2 linked regions of the Rattus norvegicus genome follow. The protein of the gene in region 1 interacts with the protein of each later gene in a biochemical or structural test. Links are inferred from orthologs where the notes say so. Each region holds a gene or a part of one and is shown on either strand. Other genes may lie near its edges.

Region 1 (3,511 bases):
AGCGCCATAGGGATGCCGAAGATGGTAGACAGCAAGCGGTAAAACCAATATTTTGTCACAGTGAAGGTGGTGAAGCTGGCCTTCCAGATGCCGTCGAAACTGTGTGTCCCTTCTGGTTCCGCAATCACATCTTCAAAGTCAATCTGAAAGAAAGAAGGGGCAAACCGTGAGTGCGAATAGAAGAAAAGGGGAAAATACCACATGGCATGGTTATTTGTGTGCCAGCCCTGTGCAAGGCGATCCACAGCCGTCAACTGCTTCTGCCTCCTTGGGCCTCACTGGGGACATGAACACATGGGTTCTCAGATCTGATCATTCTAGGGTGGAGCTGAGAAGCATTTTAACATACATGTCAGATACTTCTTGACTATGTCTTCAGTTGAGGATTACAGCTTTCAGGACAAATGGATGTGAGGTAAAGCGAAACTCAGAAACATGAGTAAGGACACCCAACACTCAGGAAGAGGTAAAGAGTGTGACCTAAGTTTTTACTGCCCTCAAAGACAATCATAATCCAGTATTAAGTACTAGACACATTTCGAATCAGACAAATCCATTAATGACTTTTGTAACAGGATTAACAGAATCCTTTCAGGGAGTTAGGACACTATGGGCTGAGGCACGGAGATGACTGTAGGTGGTAAAGCAGAGCTTTGGAAATGTATGTGATGGAGAAAGGAAGGTACGTGGCAATGCTGGCAGCCAAGGCTCAGGAGCAAGCAAGAATGAGACTCAGGAGTGTCCCAGGCAGAGGTGACCAGAGTGAACACATCAGAGAGACAGGTTGAGGCTAGAATGGGCATTGTTTTCCATATAATGAAGGTCTATGAAGATGTTAGAGTAGGAAAGAGCAACTACAGTTACAGAGTTTCTTCAGATCAATGTGACAATGCATGTGATTATGTAAGAGTGTGTGTTTGTGTGTCTGAGTTATGTGCATGCCTGAGCTGTTTGTGTGTGTGTGTCTAAGGTGTGTATGAATGTGTGTATGTGTGTGTTTGAGAGGTGTGTGTGTGTGTGTGTGTGTGTCTGAGTTATATGTGTGCCTGAGTTGCTTGGGTGTGTGTGTCTGAGGTATGTGTGAATGTGTACATGTGTGTGCTTGAGAGGTGTGTGTGTGTGTGTGTGTCTGAGTTATATGCGTGCCTGAGTTGTTTGTGTGTGTGAATGTTTATGTGTGTATGTGTGTGTTTGAGAGGTGTGTGTGTGTGTGTGTGTGTGAATGTGTGTATGTGTGTGTTTGAGAGGTGTGTGTGTGTGTGCCTGAGTTATATGTGTGCTGAGTTGTTTGTGTGTGTCTGAGGTGTGTGTGAATGATGTTTGAGAGGGGGATGTGTGTGTGTGTGTGTGTGTGTGTGTGTGTGTGTGTGTGTGTTGGACTAAAGGGAAAGGAAACCAACAAGGAGACTGTGGCACAGCCCAAGTGAAGATGGCACAGTCAAGATGAGAAAGTGGTTATTGAAAAAAAGGAAGAAAGAAAGAAGGAAGGAAGTGAGAAAGGAGAAAAATGGTGGAAAGGAAATAAGAGATCAAAGAGAAACTAGTTCCTGGACATTATGACAAAAACTCTTAGGACTTGGTTATTTCCAAGAGAGGAACAAAGGATGACCTCTGAACTCCAGATCAAACTGTTATGGAGAACACACATGACATTAGAGCAAGGAGAACATTAGAGAGAAAAAAATTTAACAGGACAGAACCTCACTTTAGAATTAGATAAATTGAGAATATAGATTCTGGTAACGATCACGACAAATACCAATGCTCCAAGAATCATATATGCTTCAGAAGTCCCTTTTAGGAAGCCACTGGGATAACAATCAGCCAAACTTGCAGTCACATAGCACTTACAAGTGCTTCTTTGCATTGGTGACCTGGAACAGTAGGTTCCTGTCACTTTACAAAACAAAGACAAATGGCAACTTTCTAAAGACAGAAGCAGGCACAGCAATAGGGGATCCTAGTTAGATAAAGTCCTTTTCACCTTCCCACTTGCAGTTACTTCTTAGGCTTTAGATAAACTAAATGAAGCACAAGAATAAAGGCAACTCTCATGAGGAAGGCAGAGAAAGAAACTGCTATGTGAGGGGCTCTAGCATAGTTTGAAATCCACAGAAACTGATGTTGACCAGCTGCAGCCCGGCAGAGCCCAGAGTCTAGGCTAGAGCTTAGGTTCCTTCAGTCTGCGACTCAGTGCCAAAGAGCCACCTTTGATTTAGCACACCAAAATATCTTTGGAGAAAGTACATGACGCTTACCAGTCTTAAAGTTTGTTTTCTAGAACATTCTGTTTCTTTCTCTATTGCCCAATGTCCTAATAGTATAATATGCAAAATGGTTTCATTGCAATTTTGTAAATGAAGTTAAATGGATTTATTTTTATTGTATTTTTCCTCAGTTCATTTAGAACTAGATTGAGGTAAATATTTACGTGTGTGTGTGTGTGTGTGTGTGTGTGTGTGTGTGTGTGTGTGTGTGTTTAACAGATTGTAGAATTCAGATAGCTCAGGTGCAAGCACAAAGGCATGAGTTTGGTCTTCAGAACACACTAAAAAACTAAGAGTAAACAAGCAAGCAAGCAAGCAAACGAACAAACCAAAGCCCACACCAGACATAGGGCTCAGCAAGCCAGCCACACTAGTCTAATTGGGGAGTTTAAGACAGTGAGAGAGTTTGTCCTTAATAAAAATAGATGAGTGGGTTTGGAGAAACAACCTCTGATATGTCCTCTAACACACAGATACACAGACACACAGACACACAGACACACGCACTCACATAGTGAAAAGTGGTGGGGTATAAGGGAAATTGGACCAATACTTGAACGACGTTTCTGTCCAACTTATTTATCATTGTCTATTTGCAAGGTTATAATAATAAATTCTTCCCAAAGCAATGAAAACGAGAAATTAAAAGTTTTCTTTCAATTCCTTTAAAATATATCTTTTTTTTAATTTCTTAAAAATGTCATTATTTCAAGAGCAAAACTGAAAAAGTCAAAAATGCAAAATTATCAGTAAAATTGAAATCTGGGTTCAAAAGATACACAATGCATAGTGATTTACAAATATCCTGGGAGCACACAACTGGTTGAGTGTACAAAGTGTACAAAGTGAACAAAACATGCAAAGTGTACAAAGAGTACAATGGCCCATTGCGTTCAGTACAGGGAAGATCTATTACTGATTATCCCAGAAATGACAACCAATTGTCCATGTGAACAAGAGATTGGTTTGAAGCTCAAATCTGGTCAGAGTTTGCAGGTATATAGGAATGAAAGAACCACAATCATATTTTTTTTCTTCAAATGTGGACCATTTTTTTTCTGAACAAGAGACAGTCAAGATGAATTTAAGTACCTTTGTGGTTGTATGTACAACAATGTTTCCACATTTGATTTTAGTGGGGGAAATATAGTTTTATACTGTTAGTGAAAACTGTGATTGTATTAGAACATATGAAATGTATATCACTACATTATTATCATGATTAGATGTATGTGTAGGACACA
Region 2 (4,308 bases), on another chromosome or scaffold:
CCATGGCCCAGTCCTCGGGTGAACCCAGGTCCTCGCTTCTGATCTGTCTTGAAAAACTGATGAGTGAAGTGCTGGGCAAAGAATGCGAACATCATATTTGTGCCTTGGGGATCCGGGATGAACTCTCTCCTCAGAAGAACCTTTTCCAGAACTTCTTTTGAATCAGGAAGTTCCTTATTTCCTAGAACAAGAAAACTCTAAAGTAAATATGTATCCATTTACATATTTGTTCAAACAAACAGCTGTCTAATTCCTGAGAGCATCCATCTTAAAAACATGAACTCCAAGAGGATCACAGCACGGAAACAATGGCTGTGCTTTGAGGCACAGTGTCATGCTTGTACCCCAGGCTGGACTAAACTCACTCTCTATCCCAGAATGGTCTTGAATTATTGGTTAACCTTTACCTTAGAGGTTACAGACAACAAGCTAACTTACTAAGGGTATAAATTCATGTTTTAAGATATGGGGGTGAGTTATTGAATAGTTTTATCAATAACTAACATGAATTCTATTTAGCATAAGATGCTAATGTTGAGACATTATATCAAAATGGAGATTTACTTTCACATAATAGATCCGCACTTTTAATACGCCTCTGTGGACAGCCATACTAAAGACAAAACTATTTTACAGTTTTTAAATAAAAGGACAATCCAGGGTCAACTTTTCTAGGTACACACCCAACCGTCAGTACACTTGCAACGTCTCTATTTCTTTGTACTCACCTTTCACACCCATGGGAGTTGGGCAGTCATCAGCCACAGGAGGAAGGGCCCTGGTGTAGTAGGAGAGGTTGGAGAAAGCTTCCCAACTTTTGTAACCGTAGTGCACATTGTAAGTTGGTGGGCTGTCAATCAAATGTGATCTGGCTGAAATTTTAAAGAAAAAAATTATTGAACCTCATGTGAAAAAAACCAACAAGGGGATATCAATTATCCATTGTACAATGGATCAAGTACAGAGATTGGGTTTCATTCAGACAAAGATACCCTGCTTTACAATGACTAAACTTTAAAAGGCACTGGGAAAATGCATCTTCAATAAAGTTTAAGATTTACACAGGACATTATGCTCCAGTAGTCTTGACTTTTCAGGTACTACCCACTTCCTGTTCCATAGCTGATGACAGATACAGTTGGGCATGGCCCTCAGAACGATAGACAGCTATTTTCTCTTCTGACCCCCAAAGAAAACCCTAATGAACCATTTGTTTAAAGGGTGCTTTGTGTTCAGAACAATTCCTGCAAGCCACGGATAGTCAATGAACAAGTGAACCACACTTCCTCCACAGGAATGAGGGGCAGGAGTCATAACCAAGATACAGACTACAGGTTTACATGACAGTGGTTTAGACATATCAGGGGTGGGGGCAGGGTAGGAAAGTATACTTCAAGGCGTTTTGAAAAGGTCGGAGAGATTTCTTTGGGTCGGGCTTCTAGTGCATAGTTTTGTTCGATGCTGGAGAACAAGGGAGGTTTGTACTCACACGTCAACACGTATCTCATGATTGAATTCCGAAGGAAGGGAATGTTGTTCACAATGTTCCAGACTCCCTTGAAGTGGGTCAGGATGTAGTGTACTGTGTTTGGGGTGGGCTTCAGCAGTAATTTGATTCTTGTCAGAAACTCAGCTGGAGAGAGACAAAGCGGGAGGAAGAGCTGAGTAGGCGCCTCCCATAGGACATAAATCTACAAAATTATGGTGACCTTATGTGTCCCCATTCCAAAGGAATATACCCCAAGAAAAACTTACGCGTAGTACAGTTTTCACCGTAGAATCCAGTCCGGGTACAGTCACATTTATATTGGTCAAATCCTATGCTCATACATTCACCACGGTTTTGACATGGGTTGGAACAGCAAGGATTTGCTATATTAAAAAGACAAGACAGCCTGTCAGTCACTCTTGACTCATCTTAAAGATTTAATTGTGTCACTATGGGTCAACTTTACAATGGTAAGTTTGACAAATACACAGGTAGTCCTAGAAAAAAAAAGTTTTATTTTAACTAATTCTGTCTTATGAAATGGTTGTAATGTAGAAATAACAACTTTCTATTCTTAAGCAAGAAAAGCTGAGGACCTAACTTCCTGGCTCACATTATCGACATTTTCAAAATAACTTGGATATTCAGACTAGAATTGTTAAGTTAGCCCTTTGAAAATTAAAAAGTACATTTGTCAAAATTTAGTGTAAGGAATATAAAAGTAAAATAGTCAAGTTTTAAGATTTTGAATATTTTTTTAGAATGTCTTCTGGATTTTCCTGTGGGAAGAAGAGCCTCCAACATGTATTTAAAGCAATCACTCCTGTTCGGTTGCCCACACACGTGCTTTTCACAAGTATTGATCAAATTCTGTCTTACCATAACGACAACCATTACGACTATTTCATTTTAGCAAATGAAAGTGGTTCTCTGCTCAGTTGAGTAATGGCTCATAACCTGAAAGCGGTGGCAAAACCCCTGCCATCCTTGCAGTTCCTTTGGATTTTAGCGGCTCAGGCGCTTTGCCAATACACAGCCCATCCCATACTCCTAGAAAGGGGTCTGAGCCAGAGGAGTCCCTCCAGGGGTGCTTCGGGGCGCGAAGCCACTCACTCACCTGCATGGCTGAGCGCCAGGGCAGCGCAGAGCAGCACAGCTCGGAAGAGCATCGCAGAGGTGGCAGCGGTGGTGGCAGCAGTTGTGGCAGCGTTGGTGGCAGTGAAGCTGGCGGGGGAGCTGGCAGGACACAGAGCTGAGTTCCTTCGTAGGCAGGGTCTTCGTACTCCTGAAGCTCTCCGCTCAGTTTGACAACTGGCCGCTAACCCGGAGAACCTTGCTTTTAAATCTTAGTAAAGTGGACTCCACGTGACTTCGTGACTGTGTCTTTCCGCCTCGGCTTTCCCCACCCCCCCACCCCCCCAGCTTTCCCCCATCTCCGCTTCCAATTGCATAATACCCATAGGGGCAGGCTTTACTCACGCAAATGAGCCCAGAGAAGCCAGGAAGCTTCCCTCGGCTGCCCAAAGTGGTGCCAAGAGAGCTGCACCGCCCTCTGCATCCTTCCAGGCGCCCTGTGGTTCGCTGTGCCTGCTCCAAGACTGGCTCTCTTTGAGGTCTCGGGTTTCCTCCCAGTCCCGCATCCACTGGGGGGCCGGAGGAGCAAGAGAATGTCACAGCTTCCCCTCCCGGGATCCGAGATCCTAACTAAGGGAATCCCCTTGCCTCTCCCCACTGGGGCGCAGTCTGACGTGCTTGCTGCTCTGAGCACGCACACAGTTACCGGTGTATTTAATTTATTCTATTTTTAATGAAATGAGAGGGCTGCTGTCAGGGTGACATCTGCATTGGTGGAGTTAGAGTGAAGTCTTTCACCGAACTGTCCTCCAGGCTCCGCAGTCCTAGCAAGCCCCAGGCACTCGCCTTTCCCAGAGACAGATGCCGAGCTCCACGTCGGAATGCTAAGTGTCCACCGCATTGCTTTAAGGTATTTTCCTCCCTGCTGTTACATAGCTTTTATCATTTTGATCAACAACTCTTTCACAGGACAAATCACTAAAAGGAATTTGTTTTAAAATGTACCTTTTAAAGACTTATTTTTGTCCACGTTTACGTTTACAAGAAGATATGCTATGGCAACAGATCAAAAGATAATACTTTTTTCCCGATAACTGGCCTTATTCTCGCTAACCTTAAAAAAAATCCACTTCTTTCTGAAACATTGCTTGATAATAAAAATTAATTGCCTAGAGAGGTGATTTTTTTTTGACTGTTGAATAACTTCCCACTGTGTTTGGTGTTGGCCCGGGAGGGGGATCTGAGGATGGAATAGTGAAAAACCGAGTAAAACAAGAAAATGAGGAAACTAAAACATTCAATTAAACCGTACGTTCTTGGCATGAATGGAGAAAAAAAAAAGACACAAAATCTGAAATTAAACTGTATTCTCAGGAAAGTTAAGTCAGGAAACTGGTTTGAAGCAGTCTGGGCAACACAGCTAGAGCCCTGCTCAAAAGAAAACAAACCAGAGCAAAACAAAACAAAACAAAATGTAAGAAGAGAAGGTCCAACATGGGGGAATCGACCATGAGAAACAGCCCTTCGGAAACTACCGAATTCCTTACTCCTCGGAGGTCTCCCAGAAAATAAGAACGCTCATGGAATTTTTTTAACTGTTTGCTTCATGTGCATGCTAGTTTGATTCTACATGAGACATAGTGACTAAAATTCCATGTCACCAAGGGCCTTTGTTCTAGTCATGTTTAATCATTCCGTGTATGGCACTCCCAACCCCTGACAGGGAGTCCTATGCCATCTCAACT

Evidence for each region. The genes of interacting proteins can lie anywhere in the genome.
Region 2: the proteins of Cav1 (region 1) and Ptgs2 form a complex in vitro, tested with the Homo sapiens proteins (2 studies listed by BioGRID). The link is inferred for Rattus norvegicus from reciprocal best matches to the Homo sapiens genes CAV1 and PTGS2.

Annotation. Positions count from the first base shown.
Region 1 is NC_086022.1:46,634,038-46,637,548, reverse strand, and holds part of Cav1 (caveolin-1), read right to left. Parts: intron 144-3,511; coding exon 1-143. UniProt on the Homo sapiens protein: May act as a scaffolding protein within caveolar membranes. Forms a stable heterooligomeric complex with CAV2 that targets to lipid rafts and drives caveolae formation. Mediates the recruitment of CAVIN proteins (CAVIN1/2/3/4) to the caveolae.
Region 2 is NC_086031.1:64,712,557-64,716,864, reverse strand, and holds the start of Ptgs2 (prostaglandin G/H synthase 2 precursor), read right to left. Parts: upstream 2,803-4,308; 5' UTR 2,659-2,802; coding exon 2,607-2,658; intron 1,873-2,606; coding exon 1,756-1,872; intron 1,634-1,755; coding exon 1,490-1,633; intron 873-1,489; coding exon 729-872; intron 182-728; coding exon 1-181. UniProt on the Homo sapiens protein: Dual cyclooxygenase and peroxidase in the biosynthesis pathway of prostanoids, a class of C20 oxylipins mainly derived from arachidonate ((5Z,8Z,11Z,14Z)-eicosatetraenoate, AA, C20:4(n-6)), with a particular role in the inflammatory response.